Drosophila melanogaster: one gene and its partners. The protein of the gene in region 2 interacts with the protein of the main gene of each other region in a pairwise test. Each region holds a gene or a part of one and is shown on either strand. Other genes may lie near its edges.

What was found.
Region 1: the proteins of azot (region 2) and CG1324 interact in a two-hybrid assay, tested with the Drosophila melanogaster proteins (one large-scale study listed by BioGRID).
Region 3: the proteins of azot (region 2) and CG11380 interact in a two-hybrid assay, tested with the Drosophila melanogaster proteins (one large-scale study listed by BioGRID).
Region 4: the proteins of azot (region 2) and CG33229 interact in a two-hybrid assay, tested with the Drosophila melanogaster proteins (one large-scale study listed by BioGRID).

The regions. Positions count from the first base shown.
Region 1 is NC_004354.4:20,732,239-20,739,131, forward strand, and holds CG1324 (uncharacterized protein), read right to left. Parts: upstream 3,723-6,893; 5' UTR 3,556-3,722; intron 3,493-3,555; 5' UTR 3,462-3,492; coding exon 2,583-3,461; 3' UTR 2,217-2,582; downstream 1-2,216.
Region 2 is NT_033778.4:7,946,578-7,952,625, reverse strand, and holds azot (ahuizotl), read right to left. Parts: upstream 2,788-6,048; 5' UTR 2,738-2,787; coding exon 2,291-2,737; 3' UTR 2,161-2,290; downstream 1-2,160. Other genes in the region: CG30378 (uncharacterized protein), read right to left, coding at 1,677-2,123; CG34431 (uncharacterized protein), read right to left, coding at 5,644-6,048; CG14764 (uncharacterized protein), read left to right, coding at 4,106-5,021.
Region 3 is NC_004354.4:1,187,720-1,198,214, reverse strand, and holds CG11380 (uncharacterized protein), read right to left. Parts: upstream 6,908-10,495; 5' UTR 6,523-6,907; coding exon 6,502-6,522; intron 4,018-6,501; coding exon 3,620-4,017; intron 3,552-3,619; coding exon 2,261-3,551; 3' UTR 1,555-2,260; downstream 1-1,554. Other genes in the region: CG14626 (uncharacterized protein), read right to left, coding at 9,707-10,364.
Region 4 is NT_037436.4:220,533-227,521, reverse strand, and holds CG33229 (uncharacterized protein), read right to left. Parts: upstream 3,671-6,989; 5' UTR 3,269-3,670; coding exon 2,765-3,268; 3' UTR 1,917-2,764; downstream 1-1,916. Other genes in the region: pyx (pyrexia), read left to right, coding at 4,911-4,937, 5,009-5,252, 5,306-5,561, 5,644-5,933, 5,998-6,266, 6,940-6,989.

The DNA of each region.
Region 1 (6,893 bases), on a different chromosome or scaffold from region 2:
AGAAACGAGAACAAGGAACAGCATGAATAAATGAAAGCAGAAAATCAGTTGATTTTAATATGAAATTTCACGCCACCGCTCTCCGCTTTTTACGCTCGCCGAAAAAAAAGGGAAAACGCAGTTTAATTGAAAATTATCGCAACATGGTTGTCACGCAATTATTTCGCGTTATCACCAAACCGAAAAAAAGGCGAATCGAAGGGTGGAAGGATGGGTGGAGAAATAGCTGCTGAGATATCATTTATATCCCGGGCGTTGCGAATTTTGCAAAACAAGTGCGGAGGGGAAACCCACCACCAGCACCACCGAAACCACCGAACCACTGTAGGCCACCTGTGTCACACGCACAATGTATCTCTTCTCGGTTGAAGATACATTTGTATCTTTTGCGTTGCCATGGCGTGAAATTTTAATTGCCCAAAAATCAGGAGACTTGCAATCAAAAAGTGTTTTTGCGGGGTCGAATAGATCAAAAAGGTCAAGCTGTCGATTGGCATTGGGTCAATATATTAAAAGCAATGAATGGGGTTTAATAACACAAATGCAGAGAACCTATTATAATTGCAGTGCAATACAATATGTACATATATTAGACATTATCAATATGCTCCAAGCCCAAAAAAAACCTTCTCGTACATTTATGCTGCTTGCTAATTAGATCATTGTATTTTTTATGATTTTCGGTAAGGATTTACTTACTGAAAATTGAGTTTTGAGTTTTGATCCAATCCTTATTGCTGTATTAAAATTAAAATTAAAAAGAGGCAAACAAGTCAATTGACCAAGTCAGAAACGAGTTGAGGCCTTCGAACAAAGACCGGATCAACCCTAATCCCCGCTGCAGCCAACTAATTGACTTATTGAGGGCCTCATTAACCCAGGCCAACCTGTACTGGTCCCGCTCCATGCTGGTACACAACCGACTTTCTTAAAAAAAAAAAGGGAAACGCTAAACGATGAATAGAACTCAGAACCAGGGGCACATTAATCAATTCCAATCAAACAATGAGCGATTCAGTTGAACTCGAAATGTTTTCCGTAAACAATAAGGATCTGGCCATCAATGAAAGTGAACAGGTTGGGAACTGAGAACTGGCAACTGAGAAATGGGGTATAAAAACCGAGAAATGAGAATTAAGAACTGAGAATCGAGAACGGAGAACTGAGAAATCGCTTAGGACAATGCAGAGGAAATGGTCAGGATCATGGGGTGTGTGTTGTTGGCTCAATCAATGCCAGCTAAACAAGTGTTATGAATGATATGATGTTTTCATTTGTCCCCGCGTTTTTTCGTTTTATTTGATTTTTTCTTTTTGGGAAACCGAACCCCAAACAAACCGCACAAAGCCGAGAGTGAAAAATCCCTGATAATAGTTAGGGTTTCACTTTCAGGGATCTCGGCAGACGAACTGGCACCGTCAACAACCGCAGCCGGTATATACGGTCTAAATGTGACATGATTAATGAGGATCCACTGTACTCCGTAGCCCCCTATTGTCCAGACCACGGATTTGTGTAAGAAATGCTGAAAAATGTTTCAATAAACTGTCGCAGTTTGCAGGCTGCTCAATGGGAGGTCGTCCCATTCTCTAGGAGCTCCCATCTGACTAATAACCGGTTTTGGAGATACTACAGTCCAGAGACATTAACAACTTAATTGACCAACAGAATTATCTCGGATACCTACGTTCAAATACGTTTATAAATTGAAAACCGGCGAGCACTCATTTGCTATTATATTTATGAAACAAGTCTTGTATCAAAAGTCAATAAAAACTTGTATTTTAATCCCAAGATTCTTCTAGTTAAAAATAGAACATCAAGAACATTATTTTGTTATATGTATATGTTTTTGTTCTACAAGATTCCCAAAGCCCGATATTAATTCTCCATATCTCCTCCCCATTTTGTTCCCACAGTCCTTTCTCCAGATTTTTTTCGGGCGTGACTCTGAGGGGGAAACAAACAACAAATAAGAAACAGACGGGGAAAAGTGGCAAATTTTCGAACAAATTTAATTTCCGGCCTTGGGTCAGCTAGATTGGCAAACATCATTTATCATCTTGGGTCAATGGAGCAGGTACAGAAGGAACAGCCACAGACAGGGGAGAATATGGACTTGGCTCTTGTCCATGTTGATTAAACCATTAAACGAGCCACCAATGGCTAGCAACATTTGAATCTATTTGAAAAATTATATTAAAAAAAAAAAACATGCTCGGTGTTCTACGATCTTTATGTAAAATTTTCCCAGAATTCCACCAAAAGCCAAAAAAAGGATAGGGCTGTAAAAAAGGATTTTAGAGGACGCAAAAAAGAGTGAGAGTGCCCACCGCCGCGTGTGGGAAGCGTGTGTTGTCCGCCCAGGTAAATCGTCCTTGACTCCTGGTCATTGCATAAAATTTGCTAAGCAGTGGCCAGGTAGTGCTGGCTGCAGATGACTCAACTGAATGCAACCCGCAGAAACCTCAGATGGTTACTGGGAAAGGGAAACACGGCATAGAGCGTTTTGTCTTTAGCCTTTTGTATTTATTTTAGCGATCCCAGCTCGAGGGTTTTGGTTTCATTTACTGGCAATTTAGTTATTCGTCGGAATCGCTGGGCGTGTTGGTTTTGGTTGACGACTTGGGCTTGCGGCCCTTCCTTATCACCTTGGAGGTGGCCTGCGCCTGGGCCCGAGGCTCAGGGTGATAGGGAGCCACCTCTTGCTTGGAGTCCTCCTGGGGAATCTCTTCGCCATGGCCATCGATGAATCCCGAATGACCCGTCTTACGCTGTGGCGTTTGAGTGACAATCCGTTTGCCCTCGCCCGTCCAGTAAACTCCTTCGATTTCACCCTCGCGAACGTGTTCGATGGCATCGTGGGCATCTTGAGGCTCTCGCGGCTGCCCGGACTCCCGGGGATCCTTAGCATCCGCCGTCTCCTCGCTTTCCAATTCACTGGTTTCTGGCTGCTCGAAATTACCAGACTTGCCATCATCCTGGCTGGCACTCATCCGCAGCCCCCGCACGTCACTTAGCTCCTCGTCAGTGAGATCCTCCATGGAGATCTCCCGAGATCTGGGCACATACGGCTGATCCTCCTCCTCGTCCTGTTGCTCCAGCTCCTGAAAGTCCTGCTCTTGTCCCTCGCGAAGTTCCTGTTTTTCTTGCAGGGTCTCTCGCAACTCCTTCAGCTGCATGGCCAAACGCTTACGAAACTCTTCGTCCTCGTCCGCATTAAAGTACAGGCTTCGATCACCCGCCAATAGCGGTAAGAATCTGGGCGGGACAGGACGACCGCCCAAGAGACTCAATCGGCCATGGATCAAGCGACCCAACAGATCCAGGCAGCGGTTTTTGGGCGCTGGAGCTGCCTCCAACAGTTGCTCCACGTGCAGGCTCTTGTGGTGCATGGATTTCAGGGAGTTAAGCAGGATCAGTGTCCTGGAACAGCTACTCTTGAAAATGGAACGTTGCATTGTAACTCAGTGGGTCCGTACGCCGTTTAATCTGTATGGAATATATATTTTTGTTGAATTTGAAAAGTTGTACGTGTAGTATGTTATTTTTTACCTAATATATATTGTATATTTAAACAGAAAAGGAACGAAAAAAGAGCGGAACGAAAAGTTATTTTCAACGGTGAATTTTATATGAAAATTTTGTGAAGCCTTGACTTTGTTCGAAATTGTAAACTTTTGAGCTCGAATATATTTTGGGTCTTGTCGAGTCGGTGCTCGGAGAACGACTGGGGATCTGGGCGTAGCGTTGTAGGCCCCAAATGTTTGGGCAGCTGACTTTTGAGGCAGCACCTACTGGAATGCCCCGCCTGCTGCTTTTCCGTAATCCCATAAAACAATTGACTTTCTAACCGTTTTCGCAAATAATAATAAAAACGGCATAAAAAGGGAGGAAACCCGGGTATTTTCGGTGGAAAAAAAAACGGGCATTAAAGTGCAGGACGAAAAAGGATTTGCTGGGGTTAGAATTCGCGCGAAATTGCATCTTTTATGGCGCATGGCCAGCGCTAGGGTTACGTGCTATATAATAACCCTAGCCCTAAAACGACTACCTGCCACGCCCCCCGCCCATGGCTAATTATGTCATTTGGCGTAAGTCAAGGCTGCAAAGTCAATTGCGAAAAATGGGTAAAAATCTGACACAAACGAGCAGAAAATTCCATAAAAATGGTTATATAAAAAATCCATATATGGTTAGGGATTAAGGGGTTGGCGGTCTGCAACCGAAATTGTCGTCTGAAAATGATAGATTATATTGATAGAATCACTGAACATAAGCAGCAGATTCACAGCTGGACCAATCGTACCTAAATCATACACGTTAGAAGGTACGATACGAGAGGTGAAAACTTGTTAATAAAACAGGTTGTCGGAAAACTAGAGGTAATCTCCATTTTGATGTGCCTCCATCTCACATTCGGGGCTCATAAAAACACATAGAAAAATGTATTTCCAAGCCGACCTATAACCCCTGCTTGCCCATTTCCCCGCCAACATGTTGTCGTCATTGTCCAGGACAATTTGCCTGCAATATTGCGTTGACAGCCACGAGAAATAATAGCCGAACAATTTATACAATTTATGAGTTTGTGTGCCACATACACATCGGCGGCGGAGGGGTAAAGTAAAGGGGTGCTTTGGGCCTTGGTAAGGGTTACCAAAAAAATGTGTGTAGCATACTTAAGCGGGCGTCGGTGGGTGGTGCTGGATCGAATGGCAGATTGCCCAAAAAGAGAGCGAAATCACAGTCGAAAATCATAAATTCGGCATGTCTAATGACAATTTGCAGCTCCACATGCGGGGTAAAATAAAAGTTGAGAGACCGTTTTTATCGTTTTTGATTTTCTGATGCTGCGCCCTTTTATGTCAACGCATAAAAGTCGTTTGTTGTTTGGTCCAAGGTTTTTAGGGCTCGGGAAAATGGGTTTTCATAGCATGACGACGCCTTACACCGCCGACCAATTCGGAAGTAACGCATATAATATGTTGACCAACTAATAATTCTCTTTAATATAGAACCATCGAAACTTTTGCTTGAGATGCGAAAAGAATCACGAGGTTTTTAGCTGCGAATTAAATACTGTAAGGATACGTAGGCTTTTGAAAGGTGGAGACCATTTAAAATGAGCTTGTCGTAATACAATTATGGCTTAAAAATACCCTGAAATGGTTACTGGCAGCTGCCGGAGGTCCTTCTGGGACATTTATGAGGCCAACGGCTGGTCGATGCCAGACGCATCCGCAGTATAAATCAAACCCGTCCGAGGATCCCTCAAACATCCCATTGAGATCTTATTGTGGACTGGAACTGAGCTGAAACTGAACTGAAACTGCGACAGAAGCTGGTCTGGAGATGAGCCATCCATGTGGCCATAACTCATCCAGCGGAGTTGTTGGCCACCGAAAATGAAGCAATCAGGGCCGAGAAAATGGTAACAGCCCTGGGTAATTGTTGTTTGGCATTTGCTATTTGGCATTGGCCGATGATGTCACCGCACACGGAGAACGAGATGCCGGCATTGTCGTTTCCACTTCCTGGCCAGCCCATTGTCTCCTTCGAGATTTTACGATTGTTTACTGCTGCTTCTGTGCCCTGACTTTTGGCTTCCATCAAATGGCCAACAAAGCCCACAGACCGAAACCTAAACAGAAACAGAAGCACATACCCATACCCACACCCATGCCCATGCCCATACCCATACCCATTCCCACTCCTATACCCAAACCAAAAACCGAACCGAACCCATTGTGGCCAAGGCACTTTGGGCCATTCAGCAGCTCGTGGGTGTTCCGATTTCCAGCCCCCTTCTTGGCTCATTTAAGTCCCGATAAATACGCATTTGATTTGGGTCCTGATGGGGGACAACAGATAATAGAATTCGAATCGAATCGGTCCAGCTTATTAAATCAACCCTTTTCTGCCCGAGTCCCTTGTTTACCCAAACTATTAGCTGCAAGCTGGCGGGGATTTGCGGCCACTGGCCATTGAAACTTTGACCCGGGAGGAGGGTTCTGGAAAAAAAAAGGCAGCAAAAACAACACAAAAATTACGTAAACGTAGCAAAGGACCATACACTCTCTGTGTGTATATTTATGTTACAATACGTATTTTAGAGCGTTTAATTTTTAAAAAAAGGCATCGTTCCCCCCAGAACTAAACACAAACACAAGATGGACATCCGGATGCATTTTTAAAATTAAATAACTCAGAAACGTGCTCTATATAATATCAAATATAAACTAATTATCTCGACACAAGCTAGCCGCAATTTCTTAGTTTGACATTTCACACTTGCTTTGAATAAGCACTGTTCCGCTTTTTCAATGTTGATAATTTCATAAAAGTGACGCATACACAATAGTTGTAATTAAAAACTATAGTTTCTCATAAGTGAGTGCAACTCTCGTCGAAAATTGAGTAATACCTTCTGGACAGAGTATCACTTGAAAGAGTGACATAAAAATAAGCATAAAACTAAATGTGCCACATTGAGGAACGGACAAGGAGTTGGACCCAAGGGGTTAAGGCCGGGTCAGTTTGAGGCGTTTAAGTTGATTTCGTTTTGAATGTTTATTTTATTGCGTGGAAAATGACGCCAACGTGGCCAAGAAATGGTGACTGCTCTCCGGCTGCTGTTTAGCTGTTTACCCCATTTTGACCATTTCGCCATTTTGGCCATGGCTAGGTGGACTTGGCTCCAGTCGCTTTTATGGCCGGCGATTGTATCGAGAATTTCGTACGCAATAAAATTCAAATATACTTGCGATAAAAATCAAATCTTGTTGGACATTCGAGGCCCCCATTCCACCGATTTGGCGACCCAATTGGGGGTATCCCATTGCGGCTGTTATGCGTTTCAATTTTCCCTTACTGCCGTCGATTCAGTTTTA
Region 2 (6,048 bases):
GTACTGCTACATACACAACGATATGTGTGTGAATAAATTTCCACATCATACTAATATAGGCTAGCATATAGATTTACAATTAAAGTGATTGACTGTTCGACTGCCAGCACTTGATGCATGTCGAACACTTCCAGTGAGTGCACAATCATTTCTGTGACTAAGACATATTCATAGCACAGCTAGGGTGTTTTCTATTATGAACTATATATTTTTAAAGCGTGCCTATGTATAAATAACAACTCCGGAGACTACCTAAAAGTAGTATAAACTTTCCATGCGGAAGTACGTGTATAGCTAAATCCCACCCTTTTGGATCTTATTCCGAGGGTTCGCTTCGTGGGAATCAAACAGGTGCGCTGGGATTGAATACAACAATTCGAATCAAAACTGTGGGTATACGAAACTCATATATAAGTCGAGCAGAAATTTATTTAGTCAATTAGCCAATTATGGAGTATTGCTGGGAAATAAGCTGAATGTTTTCTTTTTTTTTTTTCTAATTTCAAATTATAATGCTGCCCCATTTGTGACAATTTGTGTCAACTTTCTTAATGGACGACACTAATCAATGACTTAAATTACAGCGAGGAGCGCGGGCTTTATCAATGCGCTTGCACAGCGATTACTCGTATTCCATATTTACCTGTGTGAGGAGTAAACAGGCGCTATTGATTGCCTATAGCCATCGGTTCAATGTCGCACCGCCACTCACATGCAGAGCAATGCAATTAAACTGTAGCTGAACGATAACCTATTTAAATTATCCATATGAAGCGCTAGAAACATATGAACGTCGGAATGACCTCTCGACTTTTGATTAACATTAATAAGTCCGTGGGTTAACTGTAAGTGGATGTAAAATAAAGAAGCTAATGTTTTAATTTTTCAATTAAGCATAATTAAGTATTTTTGGGGTTATTGTGGGTATTTACCTTTTACAAATAGGATTAGCAATGACGAAATCGTGAAATCTTTCCGAGTAATGCATCCCAGCCCCGAAATATTTCTCCGAATTCGGCATCAATTATTCTTTCTCTATACATGATTTTCTTTTATATATGTTCTGAAATCCATGCACGAAGGCGCATTCAAATTTATAAACCTTTCCCCCTTACAAATTATTAGTCACTAGTCACTTGACAATATTTTATTGCCAAGGTGGGCTTTTATAATTGCCGAATGAGTCATGGACAATGTATGTTGTATGCGTATTAAGGGTGCCAATAGATAACAAGGTAATTTAAAAAGAGCAAGGTGCGATAAGACTTGAACCCAAAATCATGCCACTTGTAAACTTGGTCAGACAAAAAGGAAACCAGCGAGTCCAGTCCAGTCCAGCACATGGTCAAATATTTAAATTGGCATCGTAATCAGCGTGGCTCGATTTTATGATTGCTCTGGCCCATCGCCATCACCCTTTCGAATATCCTGGCACTCCCCAGCGGCCATTAGGCACATGCGACCGTTTCGGAGTCACGCGCCGTGCCACATGGACACACACAAGTGGACTTCTTCGGACAAGGTTTAACAGCCGACTTTCTGGCGCTGCGTTGAGTAAGCCAAAGGAATTTGGTTGGGAATTTCAAGTGGTGCCGCCTAGGCGTAGGGAAAACGCGACTGGGTTGGGCTCTTTCGAAAGGGGTTCGTGGTTAATTTGTGCCTTCAATTTGGAATTCCTAGCTTCGCATGGCGGTAACAAATTCGTTGAAGGAGATCTTTCCATCTTTGTCCTGATCAATGTCCTGGAACAACTCGCGCAAGTCCTCTTCGGACATCTTCTCGCCCAGGTTGGTCATCACCATTCTGATCTCGTTAATTGTAAAGCTGTTCACTTCGCTGCGATCGAAGATTTTGAAGGCCTGCTTTAGGCACACCAGACTGTTCTGCTCCTCCAGCCGTTTGCTCATCACGTATAGAAAGTCCTTGAACTGCACCTGCCCACCGAAGTCGGCGTTACTTTCGTTGGCCAGGTCGTAGATCTCCGCCTCGGTGAGACTCTCTCCAAGGGCCCGCATTACTCCGCCGAGCTGTTGGACGGAAACCCATCCGGACCGTTCCTTGTCATACAAACTGAATGCTTCTCGAATTTCTTCAATCTGGGCCTCGGTCAAACTGCCGCTCATTGTTTCCAAAGTGATTTTCTTTTTTTTTTTTTTTTTTGTAGTGGACTAATGTTTCATGTGCTTTTGTCAGTGTGAACATAAAGAATTTAAACTGAACACAGACAGAACGCCGACTTTTTGTTGGATAGAAATCAAGCCAGCCTTCTATACGAGTACTCACATGGAGGCTATCGCATTGTCATCATGTTGACGAACTCCTCGTAATTCAAGTGATTGTCCTGATCCAAGTCGTACTCGCGTATCATTTCTTCCAACTCGTCGTCGCTGAGCTTTACGCCCAGCGCGGTGAACACATTTTTTAGCTCGGTGGTGGTAATGTAGCCATTGTTATCCTTGTCGAAAATTCGGAAAGCTTCGCGCAGCTCGTCCTCATGGTTGGTGTCGCGCATCTTGCGCAGAATCACATTGCAGAACTCCGGAGCCACGATGGATCCGTTTCCCTCCGAATCCACCTCATTGATCATGGACTGAACCTCGGCGTCGTTGGGCTGGCGACCCAGGGCGCGAATCACCACCGCCATCTCTTTAGATGTTATGGCGCCCTCGTTGTCCTTGTCCAAAATACGGAAAGTGTCAAGGATCAGGACTCGCTCCTCATGCGAAATATCCTCCATCTTAACTGGTATATTATAGTTTCTCGGAAGAGTTGTATATTGCTCTGTTTATATGTAGGTGTCAACTGATGTTTGGATGAAACAAGGTCCTGACATTGAACTCAGTGAAATGTGAAAAATGGTAAAATGAACATCCCCCGGTGGCTTCACTGCGCTGCACAGTGCACAACACCGAATGGCACAAAATCAATATGCTCGTTATATAAGCGCAGTGCCGCACGGACAGAGTTGATTGATTCGAATGTCCTTGGGCGAGGAGGCCTTGCAGCTGATCGGTTTCAATTGCGACCCAGCAACGGACGTCAGCTAGTATCTTTCGTTGTTCGTTAACAAAACAGAAGGAGAGTGCCGTTCGAGGAAAGTTAAGGAGTAAGAATGTGTACAATCACCGTCATTGTTCCAACGCACACTCAAGAAAAAAAAGGCTCATCTTTTCGCTATTCGAAATACAAGAACTCAACAGAAGTTTGCAACGCCAAAATATTTGTGTAGAATGAAAACAACATTAGTGAACTTTTATAGTTCCCGAGATCTCGACGTTCATACGGACGGACAGGCAGACGGAAGGACAGACGGGCTTATCCAGATCGACTAGTGATCTGGATGAATAACTCCTTTAGCTTCACGAGTAACTGGTATAAAAATGTAAATGTAAGATTTTGTTCTTGATTGCTTAAACTTATTCGTAAGTTTTGCTATACATTAAATAATCTATCTATGAATCAGCATACCATACTATTCATACTTAACAAGAGTGTTTTGAGTGTACTGCCATACAAGTGTAGTGGTTGCTATCGGCACAGAAAGGTTGTCATGCGATTTGGGTTTGGCGCCTAGCCTGCAACTTTGGCGGCTGCCTTTTTGCCGCAGGTTAATTCCAGTGCTTCTCCCCCTCGGCCCTTTCACCTGACCGCAGTGGGACACACCTGACACCGGTTTTTGGCTGCCGGAGGAGTGGTAGTGCCCGGGGGGGTGGGCAGAGAATGCGGCACGCTTTACTCTGGCCACAGTCTAAGCAAATAATAGACAAGAATTTGACATCGGCACGAGAGGGTTCCATTGTGCGGCTCATTTGATTTTTGGTTGTGTTTGGGTATTTGTTTGGGCTAGTTTCGGCGAAACAGAGGAAGTGTGCTAGAGGGCCATAATGGAAACATATCTCACATGTGTGTTTCGGAATTGTTCCTATGACGAGGCAAATTCTGGCCATATTTTTTGACCATTAACGCCGCCTGGCCCGACATAAATAATTTTCTAAGAGTGGGGTTCGGGAACCGTATGTCAAAACTTAAATAATAAATCTCTTGTTTATTTCTTGGATAAACCAAAAATATTCATTTATTGCAAATTTAATTTTTTTTCTTGCAGGAAAACCTCCGCGTTGGCTTGGAACGCAAAAAGCTCGAAATAGACCCAAAGTATTTGCTTCTTCTGGGCTTCACCTCGTCAAATGAAGCTACAGGCCAACAGCAGCAGCTGGATCAGCAAAATGTGGTGGACATCGGTTCACCAGGTCAGCAACTGCCAAAGACAGATTTTTCAGCGCCGGCTACAAAAGCGGAACTGGAGCTCAGCGAACTGCGAGGTCTGCGGCGTCCACAGGATGCTGTTACCTTCGGTAGTCAGGCAGGAGATCAAAAGGGGCAGCGGAAGCGGATCACGACGCCGTACAACGGTACAAAGAGCAACTTCACAATCGTCAGCTATGTGCTGGAGGGGCAGGCCGCATCGGCCATCCTGCTGGCCCAGAATATTGCCGCCAAGCTTCCCAGCGAGTACCTGCTAATCTACGATTTGGGCGTTTCCGAGGAGCAACTACGGGATTTGGGCGCCTACTGTAATAACAGCCGATGCTCGGTGATCACCTATGATCTGTCGGAGTTTCCCTCCTTCGTCGCCGATCAGCGGACGCACGCCTACCGGCCCATTGTAATTAAGGACGGTCTTATGCGTGCCCGATCGGTTCTCTTCTTGGAAAACAGCATGCGCGTGCGCGGAGGTTCCGCCCAGCTGCGAAGTCTGCAGAGCATCGTTATGAATCCAGGAGTGGGAAAATCTGCAGTCAAGTCCGCTGGAGTGCTCGGATGGAACACAGCGACGGCGGTATCCTCTCTGACGCATCCAAAAATGTTCGACTACTTTGAGTCGAAAGCTGAGGAGTTTAACTTTCTTCGGATGGTCGACCTGGATGCTGTCTTCTTCTCGGACAGCTCCTTGGTGGCCGAGAAGATCATGCTTCCCTGGCTGAAGTGCTGCCTCACCCTCGAGTGCATCGATCCGATCGGTGAGTCGGGTGGGATGGGTGGTGGTGGTGGTGGTGGCGTCATAGGGATATGTAAAACTGTCATTAGAAATGTTCCTCAGTCACTGCCTGACGCCAATATAAATCAATCAAACGTACGTTCAAACCTCCAACCCCCAAGCTCTCCTTCGGGGCTAGGCTCGTGTACTAATAACTGTCATTTGCACGGCATTCCGTTGATGGCACTCACATCGGGGAAATTTATGTAATTACCACCTGAATTGGGATTGATGGCAAAAGTGACATTGCCTTTCTTAACGAACAATTCATTTTTATTCGACCGGCATTTCCCAAACTAAGTAGTCAACAATACTCACTTTTTGGCTGGTTATTACATATAATGCTTACCAAGCATAGGTGAATTTTTAATAGAAATAAGCTTTCATTTCCTTGAATTCATCTGAAATGAACTCTGTGTTCACTTCCTGGCACTCCTGGCGAATTAAACACAGAGCTCATTTTTAATTGATGAATCCAAAGAAAGAAAATGCTTCTTTTCCAATTTCATTCATTTTCTCGCGCATGTTATATGCAGTCAAATGCTCATTTCTGTATCTTCATTGATTGACTAGATTCAGATACTTTATAGTCGACAAATTTTCGGTTAAGGATCAAAGGTATTTGGAAATATTCCATTCGTTCGTTGCTCGGCTTCAAAAAGTGTTTGATAACAGCGTGATATCATTTTTGTCACATCGAGTGCCTTGTAAGCCTTTAATAATTCTCGTGTGTAGTTTTCAAATCGAAGGGGGGATGTAAGGTTCTCAAGGGTTTCGGAAATGATTTTGGGGTAACGAGAATACAAATTTACATCTTTGTGACTTCTGTGTTTCGCTTCGCAATCGCTTTGATTGGGCTTAGTTATGGAGATTAATTCCCTTTTTTCTGAAACAGGTGCTTTTAACTTTCTTTTCTTGAGATTTTCCATATAGTATTGTCGTTGATTCAAAAAATTTCTTTTCATTGTCATTTCCATTAGCAAAGGTGATACTTTTTCAGTCCTATACTT
Region 3 (10,495 bases), on a different chromosome or scaffold from region 2:
GAAACTACCAAATCCACTACCAGCTGCCAGCTGCCAAAGAAACAGCTGTGGCAGCCGCACCAGATGAACAGTCTCAATACCAATTGATTTGCCAAGGATTGGGTTTTTAATTCAATTTAACTAATTCAATCAAAGATTTAACTGCGGCTTGAAATGTATCGTAAATGTATTTAAGTTCTTCATCTCATACATCTTCATACACCGATCAGCATTTATTTATTTCTTTAACTTTCCTATTGCCTTTGCTGCACTGTGGCAGCTGCAACGCTTCGACAATGCTGAAAAATGTTATGTTTGTGGATCGGATTGCTTACATCTTTCATCTCCCACCCTGCCACACATTGTAAAGCAATTAGTTGTTTATAGCCGGAGCTGGTATTTTCTTTCAAGATGATCGTTTAGATCTGAAAAGTGACCTCTTCTGCTGCTAAAAAACGCAAGTTCTGGCCAGAGAGATCAGAACTCACTTTACGGCAAATAAAGTGACAGAAACCTACTTAAGTCCGACTTAATCTAGTGCACCAGTCATCTACTGTAATTTGCTACGATTTGCCGCCCCAACAAGCCCAGTACTTTCACATGGCGGTCTCTTCCTTTTTGCCACATCCATCTTGCCACATGGATGTTTACGTAAAGATTCGAGATACTACTGACAAACAATTAGCATAATCAGCTGCCGCAATGGATGGTAAATTGTGCCAATTTCTATAATTTTGAAATGCGGCAGCGCCTGTCGACTACTTTCCACTCAAATTAAAAAGCGGTCGGCAGCTTCCGCACTCACTGGCAGATTCGCATTTTCATTCGTCACTTGCATTTGCATTTGCATTTGCATTCCCAATGCCGTACCTCCTCCTCCCATCGGGATGGTGATCTCTACGCCTGGCCATTTTGCACGGGGAATTCAGAAGTGCGCCGTCGATCACATTGTTTTGTTTGAACCTTTGGGAAGCCTTCCAATTTGCTTTCAAAGTAAGGCCATTCAGGGAATCAGGGTCTTTTCCCTGTCCCGGAATCTTATCAATCATCCAGTACTTCCTTTCGCTGTGCCGAAAAAGTGAAAAGCACCTGCTTTAAGATCTGAATAAACGATTGCTACGTCCCAACAATGGACCCATAAAACGTCAGCTTCACCAGAAACCACTCCACAACAAGCAGCCACTGTGTAGCACAGATCATATAAACTTATTTTATGTACAATGATGCTGTGCATTTGAGGATCTTGTTGCGCTGAACTACAGGTATAGTCACACACCCAGAACTCTTGCCATGCTAACTACTTGACTTGATAGGGAAAAGAGAACTCTTTGGAATGGCGAGGGCCATCATCCTCGCAAATTTCCTCCGGGATTTTCCCCGCATTTTCCAATTGCGTGCCTGCTAACAATTCGGTGTATTTAATTTAACAAAAATTTGTTGTAACACTCGTGTCAAAATCGTTCAGCTTTTAGTACTTCAGTTACGCCGGATTTGATGCTATTTTTATGGCTTTGCTGCGTGACTTCCGTGAATTGGCCAAATATTCGAATAAAATGGAAAGAGTTATTTGGTTTTCAAATTAATTTCTTTTCGGTTTAATCATACAAAAATACAAGTACATAATATAGGTAAATCAAGAAGCACATTAAGACTAAATATTGCACACATGATCAGCAGCACATTTTCTTGGTTAACAATATAAACAACATAAAAAAAAACGTCGTACAAAATAATGAAAAGCGAATGTGTCCCGGCAGCACCTCTTCGCTAAGAAAAGAAAACTATGCCTATCTTTAGGCGCCCTCTTTTCCGGCCAAAAGTATGCCTTGGCTGTGTAGCTCAGGGATTGCGGGTAGGTGTTGGATGAGATTTGGAGCTGGAGGATCACCCCGGGATCGTTCTGCTCCTCTAGCTTGGAATAAATACTAATGAGCGGATATCAGGCACAAGAAGCAACCACAAATTGTGTGTTAAGAATACGAGTGAACGTGGGCATGGCACTCACTGGAATTTTACTGTCTTGCTGGACTTGATCCCCATATTCATAATGTACGGATGTTTGAATTTGTTTTAAAGATGGCTTGCCTGGATATATACATAGAAAACGTGCGTAAGCGATTTAAAATTTAATTCTAGAATTCTAAGGCATCCGAAAAAACCTTTGATAAAATCGTTTGAAGATTGCCAAGTTTAAAAATTGGTTTAGTTCATCCAGGCAGAGATAGTGCGTTCGGTCAAATGAGTTTCCATGCCTTCGAACATCTGAACATTTATCCAGACCTCAGCCCTCGAGCAGCTGTGTCGTCTTGTATTCGACAGCCGAACCCATTTCAGCGCCCAGTTTCTCCCTCACATACTCCCTGATCTGTTGGAGTCCCTTGTCGCCCGAACTGGGACCCACGTCCCCATCCGCGGGTTCCGGCTTGGCCGCCCTTTTGCCCTGGCGCATCTTGATCGCATGGGCGTGGTAGTTGAAGGGGCGTTCGCCCTCAGGCTGGTGCTGGTGCTCCTCGATGTTGGTGGTCTGCTGTTGCGGTTGATGCTGCTGCTGCTGGTAGGGGTACGGATTAAAAATGACCTTGGTGTGGGTGGGTCGTGGGTTGTTTTCCGTTATGGGAAGGCTGTGGTCCGCCTCCGGTTCCTGTTCAGGACCACCTGAAGGACCCGTCGGTGGATCAGATTCTGGAACGTATATTGGTTGCTGCTGCTGCTGCTGCTGCTGAAGATGATGATGGTGCTGCTGATGATGGTGCTGCTGTGGTTGCGGCTCCGGTTCCGTTTCCGGCTGGGCCATTGCTATCAGATAGAGCTGAGGCTGCTGCTGCAAATGGGATTGGGGCTGAGCGTAGTAGAACTGTGTGGGCTGCTGGTAGTCCATGGGCGCGTAGTATTGTTGCGGCTCATATTGTTGCTGCTGCAGCTGCAGCTGTTGCTGGTGGCGACCCTTGTAGCTCTGGTAGACATCATCGATGGGTGCGTACTGGACGGGTGCCGGCGTGGGTGCCAGTTGGTGGGCGTAGCTGACTTCCTGATGGTAGGTGGCCGGTTCTGGTGGTCCATATTGCTGCGAAGGATCCACATGCTGATGCTGCTGTTGTTGTTGCTGCTGATCGGCCTCCTGGAGCAAGCTGAGGTACTGGGCCGCTCTGATCTCCAGATATTGCTGGAGAAGGGTCTGCAAATGGGCGGCGTACTTGGCGGGTCCTGGAATACGCAAGACAATGACGGGCTCCTGATATCCCCCGTGGCCACTGGAACCACCTGCACCACTGGGACTTTCCGCTTCATCCTGGGGCAGATCAATCTGCGGCTGCTCGGGAGCTGTGTGCTGCGGTTGGGTTTCATAGCTGGTCTGGGGCTTAAGCTCGTAGGAGTACGAGGGCTCAATGGTCACGCTGGTCACTTGCTCGTGATTGTGATGATGTTGCATTGCCGGCTGGTGTGCCTCCTCCTCCTGCTCCTCCGGATGTGGCTGTGGAAGGGCAAAGCCCGAGGGAATATCATGCTGTGAGTATGGATAGAACATGAACTTGGGCGGCGTGTAATCATAGCCAGGATGCGAGTAGCCGTATCTGTTTGGATATAGAAGTTAGATGGGTTAATATCTGGTCAGTCAAAATGCTGTCATCCATGGTCTCACCCCAAATCCCCCTCGATGGTCCTCTTGCTGTTCTTGCCGCCGCTACTCGTGGAATTATCCCTCTCCACCTTGATCTTGATCTTGTTTCCGTGCAGTTTGAACTGCTTGTCCAGCTCCTTAATGAATTCCAGGTCATCCGCCGGCAGATTGCCAAATGTCTCGGTTAAGGCCGGTGCTTTCGTGGGGCTCTTGGTGGTTGCCGATGTGCCGATCTTCACGCGTGGCTTACTGGGCTTCAAAGTGGTTGCTCTGCTGATGGAAATCGGAACTGTGGTCGGCGTTTTTGTTGGTCGCTTCTTCAGGGTGGTAACCTTTTTGGGAAATCCATTGCCCTTTGAGCCACTCGCCTCTGACTGGCTCAAGCTGCTGGCCAAGCACACTATAGCACTAAGAGTGCCCTGTGAAATATAGACAAACACAAGGTAAAATGTTTATCAATTTTATAGGACTTATACATTTAACTAAAGGAATTGCTTTTTTGATATTATTTAAAGCTTAGCTACCAGCTTGCGAGTTGAAACAAACAGGAAGTCTATCGAAGTTAGCTTTTCAAGAATTTGTAACGATTTAAAAATGTTCCAAAGCTGGAAAGACATTAGGTTCGTTGTCGGAATCAACTCAAATCAAATTGTGAAAATTGTTGGTTTCGTTTTGGCCAATCTTGGTTCGGGCTCAAGGTAAGAGGCAAAGACAATAGAGGGTGACAAAGGGGGAGTTGGAGACAAAAGCTGTGGTCCATCTATCGCTCTCAATATCGATCGTTAAGCCATTCGATGCACAACACACGCTGAGAAGAGGTTTCACATTTGACATTTCGTCAGGCGAATTGGTGTTGTAATTGAATCTCGATGTCTTTGAGTTCGTGTCTTGAGTCTTTTCATTTTAGCGCTTGTCCGCAGTTCGTGCCTTCAGTCATTTGATTCGCAAATGGTGGTAGATAACACTAATGGTTCGGTTTTCATCGATCAAATGATGATTATCTGGGTGACGATTATGGGTTACGGTCGCTAACTGTTACTGATACATGCGAATTATGGGTTATTAGCCTGATAATGTTTCATTTAATCCAGTTTAGGCTAGGTTCTTGTCATTACTGATCATTACTCTTTAATTTCAGATTTACGGTTCAAATCGAATTAGCCCTCCAAGTAGCAAAATAGTTTACTGACTTTGCATGCCATAATTGCAGCATGCGCCTCTCCCAGTTTTCCATGTGCAGCAATAATTTCGTACTTCGCTTGGTTAGTTAAGTTTTAATTGCACTTTGTGACTCGATTATCCAGTGAGTGAGTGAGTAAGTGAGTGTGTGTGTTATGTTACCCGAAACTAGGACAGTGTGTCAAGTCATTTTAATAGTCGTTGTCGTCTCTTTACTGCTGGTTGCTTATGTAGCAGTTGTTATTTAGCCTAGTCGTTAAGCAGGAAGAGTTTTTTTTTTGGCACACTCGCCTTGCCACAAGTCAGCCGCAACAGCGAATAGCTGCGGATTTTTGTCAAATGCTAGCATGAGCTGTGGGACCCGAAGAGCGAACTGCTTTTATGTAACCTCCACCGCTCATACAGAAGGAGCAGAGCAGCAACTAGTTAGATCTGTCTTCGTATTGATTTATCTTTACCAATTATTTTCTGTAATAATTTAATTTAATTGCATCAAGTCCCGAAGTCGCCTTGCCTTTCACTTGCCGCACAAAGAATCGAACCGAGTGGACGGGTTGGTGGGCGATTTTGCGCCAGAGATGAGATTCCCATTCCCGCATTGCAAATTACGAGCTACAAACAACGGCAAGTCGGGGCAAACGATCGTCACGCAACGCGTGCAAATTAGTCGGACTTGGATTTTTGCCCAGTTTGTGTGCTGCGGTGTGTTAGTTATTGTTTCACTTTCGTTGTTGCATCACCAGCAGCAGCAGCAGCAGCAGCAGCAGCAGCAGCACAGCAGCTGCTGCAACATCAAAGCCAAGCACAACAATAAAATGTAAATTAGACGTCTACAGATTATCCTGCCAGTGGCTGAGCGGCGCCTTCTCCCCCATCGGATGGGGCGTAATAACTTTATGTAACCACACGAGTGGCGACTCCAGAAAACGAGTCTTTCCAGCGCTGCGAAGGAAAAGACTACATCCAAATATGTGGATAGACTAACAATATGTACGAATATTAATAAAAGTTAAATTAAGCTTCTCGTTCGAACTTCTTTGTTGACATAGTTGTAAAGTGCCCTTATAAATTAAATACACGCTATTGCCTGACATTTAGGTACTTTAGTACGTTGGTTCAAAACTTACTTACTTAATATATCACAAGATGATTTCTTTTATGAGTAATGCAAATAAATATTTATAGCCGCTTGATTCAATGTGAAGACACTTTACCACCTACCACCCCTTAATTTCGTTCAGTGTGCACATTTGCGTAAACGAATCTCTGCTGGCCACTTCGGCAATCGCCAGATTTGTGATTCTACCATCTTAGCGTCCAATTAGTGGGCGATTGACGCAACTCAACCCCACTACTCCTCCATCGTGCTGCTTGATAGATGGATCTGGACACGGACTGGCAAAGTGGGCAAGGGCAGGGTCAGATAGCCGAGAAGCCGAAGGGCAGGAGTCAGTGGAGCGAGTGAAAAGGTCAAGATTATCGAGATATGGAGACACCATAGACAGCGGGAGTTGGGAGTTCATTGTATCGTACACCTGGTCGAGTTGGTTGAACTGCAACCACTTTCTAAGCCGGCTTGGCCAGCACTGCACCACTTGAATGCAAATTAATTTGTCAGCCGACGACTAGTTTTTATCCCGCACAAATTGCACAATTCGATTGGTGGGTGGGTCTATTTTCCGGGTTTTCTAAAGGAGATTGTATAATCTTACTCCTACTCTTACCAATATTAACGCTAATCTCATGGCGATTCCAGGTATCAATGCGCATGCACAGCGACTTTTTCACAAAATCCGAATTTGATATTGACGTTATATGTTATATGTAATAATATATGCACTTTTCAATACATTTGTGTCTTCGAGAACCACAAAAACAAAAAATACCAAGGGTACACGGCCGGGCTGGTGGGTTTAAGTTATGTTGGTTATAGTGTCTATACGAATTTGGTTTTGATTTTCGTCTCAGATTCGTAGTCGGAATCGGAATCGGAGCGGTGCTAGCGTTCAAAAGTCGCGCCTCTTACTGCGGATGGCGCTGGCGATGCTCGCGGTTTTTATATCGCAAGCACAGCATAACAACTTGGTCTTCGGGTTGCATCAAGCTGGAATATCGGCTTCGGAGTTGGAGTTGAAGTTGAATTTTTGAAGCTGAAGCTGAAGCTGAAGCTAAAGCTGAAACCAAAGCCAAAGGCGAAGGCGAAGGCGTATTGTGGACCGGGGATCGGGAAAAGAAGACCGAAGTTCACCACCAATGACACCGCACGTAGCTGTGTGTGACTGAAGGTGTAGGTTGCCTGGGATTGCCGCAACTGTAAACAAAGTGCTGGAGTACTTTAGATGCTGGTCAGATACAGAGAGATAAAATGCGGAGAAAAAAAAGTTGCGGAATTGGGAAGATGTAGTTTGAGGCACTGGAATACGAGTAGGGGAGATGTTACAGATGTGCCCGTTTAAATATTCCTGCCCACTTTGTTCATTGAATAGTTTCCATTGCCATCTAGGCATGGAGCTTCCCGTGCTGAGAATCATAGATGATCGACCTTGATTCGCCATGGGAGAGCAATCTTTCACAAAGGGCCATATATATATATATTTATATATATGATTGTATAGTAGATAACCAGATATGGAGGGAACTGGGAAACCTTTCCAATTTCTTTGGGGACAAAACGGCGACGCTTTTGTCTTGGCTTTTCCAGTTCAAGTTCAAAGCCATAAAAATATTGGCGTAACTTTGGCTTATGACAAAGGCCTGGACTCAAAAGACCGATTCCGGGGCCTTTCATTTCGGGTGAATACGTTTTGGGTTCATTATTATTATTATTTCTGTATTCCGCTGGCCCGCATAAAGCCACAAACCAATCGAAACAGAAACTGAAATTTGCATGAAAACAATTGCAGAGCATCCCATCCAGATGGGAAAAAAAGAGAGTGCCGGAGGTCCGCGAGTAGTGGCACTTTAATTGGCGCATTAAGTTGTTTTCGCTTGGGCTTGGCCTGGGATTTGGAGTGGCTTTTCGCTTTTGGCTTTGCCCAGCGCCAAAGGAGAAATGGCATAACAAGAGTGGCGTTTGTGTTCGGATCGTCGCTGGTGGGATTTGGTAATCCATTTTGTCAAAAGACACAAGACACGACACTAAGCGGACCGAGATAACGATAAAAGGCCGTAGATAACTGAACACTGCAAGCTAAAACCCAAAAACATCATTCGCAATCACGAGGCGGCACTGTCGAAAGTGTTTTTGCCGCCTGGTGGTACCCTTGCATTCGAAATGTGTTGGCCGTTTCAGGGTCGTCGACAATCTCCGAAAGTGACATGGTGAAGAAAGTGCATGTGGACAAAGAATCGAAACATGTTTGTCCATTTAGGTTGAAATAGGTGATGTTTAATCGCTTTGACTCTCCTCCTTTAGGGTCTCCCTCTGTCGGCTAGCTATTTCGATTAAGTTCCCATTGATGGTCGCGCATCGATAAGGAGAATACGCAATTGAAATGCTGGTCAGCCCGCCAGTTCGATGCTCTTTTGTGCTCGGGCACTCCGATCCATTCGATTCCGCCCAATTCCGATGCCAACAATGACCGGAGCGAATCAAAGCCGCGGCTAAGAAAGCATTGCCAAACCAAGCGGCCGAACCTCAACGTTAGCTCGATTTCAACAATTCAACTAGCCATGGCTCATTGTTCAGAGGTGCAACAATGTCACTTAGTCAGCCGTCATAATGCGGCATTATGATTATTTATTGTGCCGGGCAAGTCCCATGCTGATGAAGAGGCCTACGGATCGCATCGCACACAAAGCCAAAATCGAGAAGGCTGACCGTGGGCATCCTCCACAAAGCGCGACCCTTTCTTTATCAATTCGAATGCGTATTTACGATCGAGCAGACGATTTATTTCGGCTCGTTCAACTGGAGCGAGATGTGACCCCACGAGAAGGTCACTGGCTTTGGCTCAATACAGTTCTCTATAATGCGACAGAAACATCGAGATTTTATATGCTATTTCTCTCAGTGTGGTCTTCGCCATCACCGGAATGAACGGCAGCCAGGAAATACCCTTTAAAGCAGGGCAGGGCTGCCCGTCATCATCATCATTATCATCCTTATTTTCCGTCTGTCGTCTGCATATTTAATGGGTGACAAACAATGCAGCAATTTTGTGCTTCATTAACAGCCATGAGATGGCCAAAAGAAGCGCAGCTCAGCGAAACGAAACGAAAAAAAAAAAAAAAAACGGCAACACAAACAACTGCCACAACTCGAAATTCGCAAGTTGCAACTGCAGCATCTTCGCTTCCTACTTGCATAAATCTCCACCTGTCCGTCTTTCAGTCTCGTGTCTTCTGTCTCGTGGATTTCGAAGCCGCATCTCTGCATCTCCGCATCTCCGCATCTCCGCACACTGCCACACAAATCATAATTTTGTGGCCACTCCGAGTGGCATCGCACCGTAATTGTTTGTTATTGCTGGCTGTTTGGTTTATGGCCGCGATTACGTGAGTAAAACCTCTGGGGGAGAGTCCAAGGAATCGAATCGGTGGCTTTGGGGCTCAACTGGCTCATTGACAAAGTCACATATTGCACATTTGATGCGATTGGCTTCGCTTTTGGCCCGCGATGGCCTGGACTGGCCTGGCTTAAATGGCGAGCTGAAGAGTTGCAGAGCTGGGGATGCGGCTTGTTGGCCATGTGTATGCTGTTATGTGATCACCGATCAACTTTATGACTTTAGGAGAAAACTAATTTCATCACGAGACTGATGGCAATCGGTTCTATATTCATAAACATTCGAACCCGTAATGACACCAAAAGACCCCATTATAAGGTTTAACAAAATACAATCTCATTTTTGCGGCAATAAATATTCGTATTTGTAGGTAAATTAAGAAACAAAAAATTAAATCGTACGCTAAGCCCGAACTCGAACTCTAAGGTTCGGGTAAGGTTTCCTTGACGATTCTCGACCGGTCCTCCTGGGAATCTCGCTTGTAGAGCCTCAAGTGCGCCGGAGCGGGATACGCGAGTGTTTGGCGTGCGATGGGCGTGAATCCTTGCTGCGGCTGGTGCTGTCTGATCAGGCGCAGTACCTCCCAGCTGGGAATGTACGAGTCGATCAATGATTTCGAGGAGCGTCCAGCAAACAAATCGGGCGTGGGATCCGGTTGCGATGGCCGGAATGGCCTGATACGCTCCGAACCCGGTCTCCGAGTGGTGAAGCTCACAAAGCTTGGGGGATACGGTATCGGAACCCGTGGCCCATTCGCGTAGTGCCGCTGGGGGGGCTGAGCGGGAGCGTAGGCGAACTGTTTGGACTGCTGGACCAGCAGGGGCTGACCCGGCAGCTTGTGGCTGGTTGCTCGGTTGCCCTGGGCGGTAAATCCGTAGATGAACGGCGCTCGGGCATGGGGTGGCGGAAGGGGGCGTGGCACTGGAAGGGGCAGGGCATTACTGGTTACATATGGAATGGGGCGCAGCCCCAGTTCCAAGTCGTAGGGAACTATGGGATTGGCAAATGGAGTTGCAGAAGAGGCCACTTTCGTCGTCGCTGCCGAGGGCGTGGGAGTGGGCGTGGCAGCTGTGGGACCACTGGAAAAAACGAAGAGAAGCTGATTAGCGAACGGATTAAGTCCTTTAAATTACAGCAATCATTTGCTTCATTTGTCGGAAGCTAATGCGGCTGTAAGTGAAATGCTGCCTTTTCAACACTTTTAGCCACT
Region 4 (6,989 bases), on a different chromosome or scaffold from region 2:
GCGTCTAGGTATTGGGAAAGAAGATTAACTTTAGTATTAAATGAGCAATGTAAAGATCCAACCATTTCTCAAACGCTGTTAAAGTCCCAAGAATAGACGGTTCGCTGTTGGATTTACTCAGAAGCTATAGATGAGATGTGGGCAGGCACATTCAACGGGAACAGCTTGAAAACAGAAAAAAGTTTTTCTCCATACTTTAATTAAATTTGTGTGGTGGTCCAACTACGTGGTACAATTCCATAGCATCTAAACTGTTCCACAACATGTATTTCTATAAAATACGAGAGAAAAGGGTATCGATTGCACATTCCTTACAGAGGCCGTGTACAGATTTGAGTCTGTTCAAAATGTTCCCTCTTGCGTTTAACAATAACTCTTGATTTGCAGGCTTTAATTATGGGCAGGTACATTCAACTGCACCCATAATGCTACAAGACAAAAAATATTTTGGACATAAAATCACAAATTTACATGTATTGGGCGGGCCCATAGCGCCGAGTTGGTATTCTCTGTAGATTATCAGTCCATGAAAATGTATTTCTACAAAATACGAAAGAAAAGATATCGGTTGCATATATCTTAGCTTTTACGCTTGTTCAGTTGATTAGTTATGCTTCTTTGCACATATTCTAATTGAGGGATTGATGTCGCAGGAGCGTTGTTTGGGGCCATAGAATTGAAGACCTCAATCTTCCGCCTCGCTAGATTCCATTTATACATGCCCGCAGGCACCGATCAACTGCGATGCAACGCTATAAAAAAAAAAAAAAAACGAAATGTGATGGTCGTGCCTAGTCTACAAACTCTTTGACGCCTGCTTGCGCATAGATTTGCTGGAAAGATCCTCGTCTGGAGCCCTCAAGACCGTGAATACTTGAAGACCGCAAAGCAATCCCATCAAACAAAAGCACCCACAGGAACCGATCAACTGTGACATGCAGCTACAAAGATTTAAGCGGCCTTATCTAGCCTATTGATTAGGAAGATGGGGAGTTTGAATGGAAAGGGGTCCAATAATCGCTTGCCAAAATCACAAACGGTGAAAGAGAAGTCCAGAAAAGTGTACCGAGCGAAGACAGAAAGATAAAAACTCGACGACTGCCTTTCAATTGTATATCACAATAACAATCGCACACGGTGTTCACCCGAAAGGATTACAGCAGTTCCTCAATGTCGTTTCGATGATAAATGAATGCTCCGCTGTTCTTTTCTCTGGAATTTTGTTTAAAAAGCAATATTTTGTTCGCAGCTGATATACCAAATACCGTGTATCTGTGCGGATGGGTGGGTGGTGATCAGCAGCTGCGAAGCGTTCAATGCAGAATAGGTGGTGATTGTCGGTGGTTGGCAACAGCACGAGAGCTTCAAACGCAGGTAAGCTGATGCGAGCTGGAGCTGCTGCCGCGCGCATTCCGCCTTGTCCCCAATGTTCTGTCCGCTGCGACTGAATTGCATGGGCATTGGCATGCAGAGGAGACTCGGTGGTGTTTGCTGCTGCTGCTCCCTGCTCCGGCGATCTGTGTAGAATCGGCCATCGGCTGGTTTGCGGAACTCAGTGCCTGGCGGTGGACGTGGGGGGACTCGGACAGACGTTGAGACTCACTCAGTAATTCTACAACGCAACGTCATCGTCACTGCGACGATCGTGTTCGGGATTCTTCTTTACCAGTACCAGCCATAGTCGAACTATTGTTGCTACCGGGACGCGGATTCATTCAGTGACCCACTGCGACGTAGTTTCTTGTTTGTGTTCCGTTCCTCATCATCGTTGCCATTAACGTGCGAGGAGCAGGAAACTGCAAAACAAAATTGATTATAGGTGCGGGTTATGTCAAACGGGGAGAGGGTTGGTGCTTGCTTAGCAACAAATCTGAGTCTGGTCTGGGTGAATAATAAATAAAGGCAACGTTGATTTTAACAGTTATTAATTATAATAGTTTTATTTTAGGTTTTATCAAATATCAGTTCTGTATGCTTACTTTAAGTACATTTACAGTTAATAGTTGGGTTTTCGACTTTCACTCGTTTACTTTGCAATATTGCCCGTTTTCTAGCGCTAGTGATTCAATATGAACCGTATGTAACTCGCAGAAGTGGCGATGACGAACGTTCGAATTTAATTCGAAATCGAATTTCTCGACACATCGGACAACAAAAGTAGCTCAACTTGGTGTACACAAAAATAGCACGAGCGTTCATGCTCACACACCATCGCGACATGTAGATGTGTTAATGTGTATGCATTGTGTAAGTATATCGAGTTTTTTTTTTCTTTGTCTGACCGATTTCGTGACGTTTGGGATGCCTGTAAGCGACGTCTTATTTCGCCACACTCATTAAGCTACGTAATTTAACTAAAAAAAATATACTTATTTACAAACCGAGTGTGCTCCGTGACCAATGCTTGGTGGGCTTTTCGCATAGATGGTGGCAGCGCCCATGACTCACACCACTTTCGATTTGAAGGCCGTTTGCTCAGCGTCTCCTCACACTCTTCCAATCCTTCATTCTTTCTTTACAATCTACAACAGCCTTGCACATGTTTGCGACTGCAAATGAGAAATTGGTTGTCGTAATAAAACTATTTTAACAGAAGACAAATAGGGCTAAAGCTACGTATTTGAACAATGGTATACGGTTTGATTCGAACGGGCAGCTGAAAACTAAACGGTTCCTTCCATCCTGACGCCATTTTGTTTATATAGATGTGTGTGTCAGCCACGCATACACATAAAGTACGCACCATACGGTCGTCTCTGTCTAACTAACTGGCCACGGCAATGGCGCAGCTGTGCTGCTCATTGTTGCTGTTATTGTTATTGCTGGCGCCCGTGTAACTGTTGCTCCCATTGTTATTGTTGTTGCATGTGTCTTGGTTGCCATTGTTGCTGCTTAAGCTACGCATAAAACTGTCGAGGCTACTAAGCTCGCTGCTCCATAAATTGCTTTCCGCCTCTGCTTCTGCGGCAGCCTTGGTGGTCGAGGTCGCCACTGCAGAGTACGCGTCACTGGCGCAGTGCGTTCTGCCGTGGGGCACAAACCGTGTTTGAATGTCCAGCCAGCGACTGAAGCGCTCCTGCTGCTTTCTACGCAGCTCGTGCTCTGCGTGGAGCAGGGCCGTCGACAAAATGGCGTTCACGCGTAGGTCGCTGCCAGCGCCTCTTAGCTTGCGACGCATTTTCTGGCGCTTAACGCGGAAGTTACGGACCCAGTCGGTTAGGGTCTTGGGGTTCTCGGCTGCGTCGCACTCGTCGTAGTACGCCACCATTTCGATGATCTCACAGGGTTTTTGTTTGCGACGACTCGAAGAGAAAATTGAGAATTTGGTATACACACACCTTCACTTCGTAGTTGCTACTAATCTCTTAGCGGACTGCTTATGACTGTTCTACACAACGCACTCTTTTTAACTGGGTAGAGCGCGTTGTCTGCGCGCCCTTTTATAGCTCTGCTCGCAAATCTACGCGTTTTTCTTGTCTCAGCCAGCAGGGAAACTGTTTTTTGGGGACGATTTCTGCTCGAATGCTGGCCCTACGGATCGTGATAACCACACAAGAACACGGTCTCGTTTCTTGAAAATCGATGTCCGACGTCATATTTTAGTGGTCTTCATGGGCATGGCAAAAAACTTCAATTCAAAGTAGTGGTTTTTAACTTAATTTTAATGAGTCGTCCATTTTGTATGTACAAAAAATCCTAAAAAATACCGCAAAAGTATACTGACTCAGTATATTGGTTGGGACAGTCTAACGAGGGGTGATTGATGTCTTCTATGAAATTGTAACTATAATCTGCGCTCTACATTGATCTGTTGATCTGTTTTGCATATAAGAGCAGAAGAGAACGATAAGGTCCAGTTTCTCGACTATGATATACCCGTTACCCAGGAAAAAAAATATATAAAACATTTTGGAGAGTTGCTGTGCATTAGATGGTATACCGGTAGAAATTGGAAATAGACTAATAAAATAAAAATAAAATAATGAGAAGAATAAAACCAAAACACTTTTCATAAGTGGAGGTGTTGCAGTTTTGGCCGGCTTCATAGATTTTTAGAATGGGCGTTGCCACATCTGCTGCCTAATATAAACTGTATACCTTGTAGGTACTTTTCAACGGACCTAGTACACTGCAAAAAATCCCTATAATTATGAAAAGGCAGCGATATATGTCGAAGTATGGGACATCCTCAACAAAATACTACCCCTAACTTACATGTAGTGTATTTCGAGTTGAATATGGCAAAATGCCAGGGCTGGCGTCTAGAGATTGGTTGGCGGGCTATTTAACAGTATGTTTTATATTCCTACGCACCTTGCTAGCCGCTCACTCGTCCGTACCGCAAGTAGACCTACGATGAACAAGTGCGAAGTGTTGGAGGCACTGGAGGCCGAGATCTGGAACGATCGGTTCAGTTCGACGTACAACTTAGCTGCCGTCGGTCGTGCACACAATTAACATATCCAGTGGCGGATCAGTGGCAACTGCGAAGGTGGAAAGTGGGGGGAGCAGCTGCGAACGTGAAAAATTAGCACAGATTGCCATTGCCAGCGGTGCGAAGAATCCGCCAGACATCCAGATATTCCAACAAATATCGAAGTAAACCGATCGCACAAGAGAACGTCGCCACACATGCAGCAATATCACACAAATTAGGGGCACAAGAGATTTTGAGTGTCCGCACATATTGGCCTGGGGATAATTATTTGCGTGTCATGACTTATTAGCGATCGCAGCCTATCTCCGCGAATAAGTGTAAGTAGTCGACCCCAACAAGAAGGGTGGGCCGACCCGAACAGCAGCCGGAGCCAGCTGAACAGTCGCCCGACTCGGCCGCATCCAAAAGTTTATTGTTGTTTGGTCCACGGGAGTGTAAACAAATCGGCGCAGACAGAAGTGGCGGCGTTAAGATGGAGAACGTGCGCTTTTCAATTATTGTAAGTAAAACGACTTGGCCTACATGCCTCGCGCTTTCAGCCGCCTGCAATTCTTTGTTTCTTTTTGGAAGGAAAACGACTTGAAGTGGAACTCGGAAAGCGATCCGACGGCGGATGTAGACTTGCTCTTGGACAAGCGGAGCATATCCAGTGAGGCCAACAGCGCCGGAGTTTTTAGCGACGAGGCGCACGAGATATTTGCGCGCCAACAGCAGAACCAGATCCTCTGGGACCTCGACGAGGTTAAGGAAACCCTGACCGAGTCTCCAGGCGGAAAGCATGTCGTGGACATGGTTCAATCTGGCTGTTTCCTGGGTGAGTACCTCACAGCACGGTACCTAACATATCCCAGACTAACCCCCACATAGAACTAATGACCGACTCTGCTGACTGCAATCTGGCGCTGATCTGCTGCTCGGTATTCGGGAGCGTAGAGAATACTCTCTTCCTACTAAAACACTACAACGCGGATCCGAATGTGGCGGACAGTCGGGGTCGGACCCCACTGCATTTCGCCTGCTGTCGGGCAAACGCTCCCATAGCTAAGGTTCTCCTCGACTTCGGCGCTGACCCCAATCGCTGGGATGCCAGGAAGGAGGTCACGTCGCTGCACTGTGCGGCCAGGTAAAAGGCCATTCATTTGATTGCGCTTCCCACATGTGCACAGCACTAGACACGTAGTTTTAATCAAGCGACTCCCTATTAGCTCAAAAAGCGTTGAATGCATCCTGCTGTTGCTGCGGCGAAAAGCGAGCATCAACATTGGGATCGAAAAGCGTTCCGCTCTGCACTATGCCATCGATGTGAATGCCGTGGATTGCGTTGAGATCCTGCTGAAGTACGGAGCCGACCCAAACACACCGCAGGTGTACACTGAAACTCCACTGCACACCGCCAGCGCCGCAGGATTCGCCAAATGCGTCCAGCTTCTTCTCAGTCACAACGCCGACGTGCGATCGCAGTTTGGCGAGGGAAAGGTTACGGCCCTGCACTTGGGTGAGTAGTGGCAAGGGGTTTACAAGTGCTTTGCAAAATAGATTGGTAAATCCACAAATTGCAGCTGCCGAAAACGACTATGTAGAATGTGCTCGCTTGCTCCTGGAACACCGTGCTGAGGTGGACTGCCGTAACGCCAGCCATCAAACGCCCTTGCACCTCGCCTGCCTTTCGCAGTCAATCGGCACCGTGGATTTACTGATATCTTACGGAGCCAATGTGAATGCCGTTTACCGAGATGGTAGAACCGCGTTGCACGCCGCCATCGTTAAGCAGTCGCGGAGTTTGGACTGCTGCAATGCCTTGCTAAAGGCGGGAGCGGATGTTAACAAGGTAGGCGGCAGATCACTATGAGAGCTGATCACAAAAAACCATTATTTAATATAATGTGCTTTTTCTACTAAAAAGTATTGTAAATGATAATGAAGATATTAGTATAAACCGCTTCGCTTTTCTTAATGAGGAAGGGTCAACGAAATTAATTAAATTACTTAATCGTCAAAAACGTTATTTCGGAATTTTATTTTAATAAAACTATAACCAAACTGAGAACTAGGAGCAATAGCAGCCGAGGCATTCAGTTTGTGAGACAACGACAAGAATTTTATATAAAGGCTTATATTGATCTTTATCTGGCTACTTACCATACGCTTATATCCTACATAAAATATAATTTTATAAACTTTTATAAACGTAAGCTCCTAGCTCATCAACTAAAGTGAATGCATACGGGAAGATCGGTTCAATTCGAGCATACCATGTTATAACATTCATTAAATGTTGTAAATCAAATAATACAATACAGTAACTTTAGTGAGAATACGTTGCATACATACATTTGTGTAGGGCTCCAGTGGCTCTTTACGTCATTCTTAGAGTGAAACCTAAACTAAAACTAAACTAAAATCTTAACAAACATGGAGCCTTCTTTGTAAAGTTTTACAAAAGTAAAGCCATAACGTTTTTTTTACTTACGATTAGAATAATGTATGATTATTACTTACAGGCAGACAACTATGGATATACACCACTGCACATTGCAGCACTGAATGAATT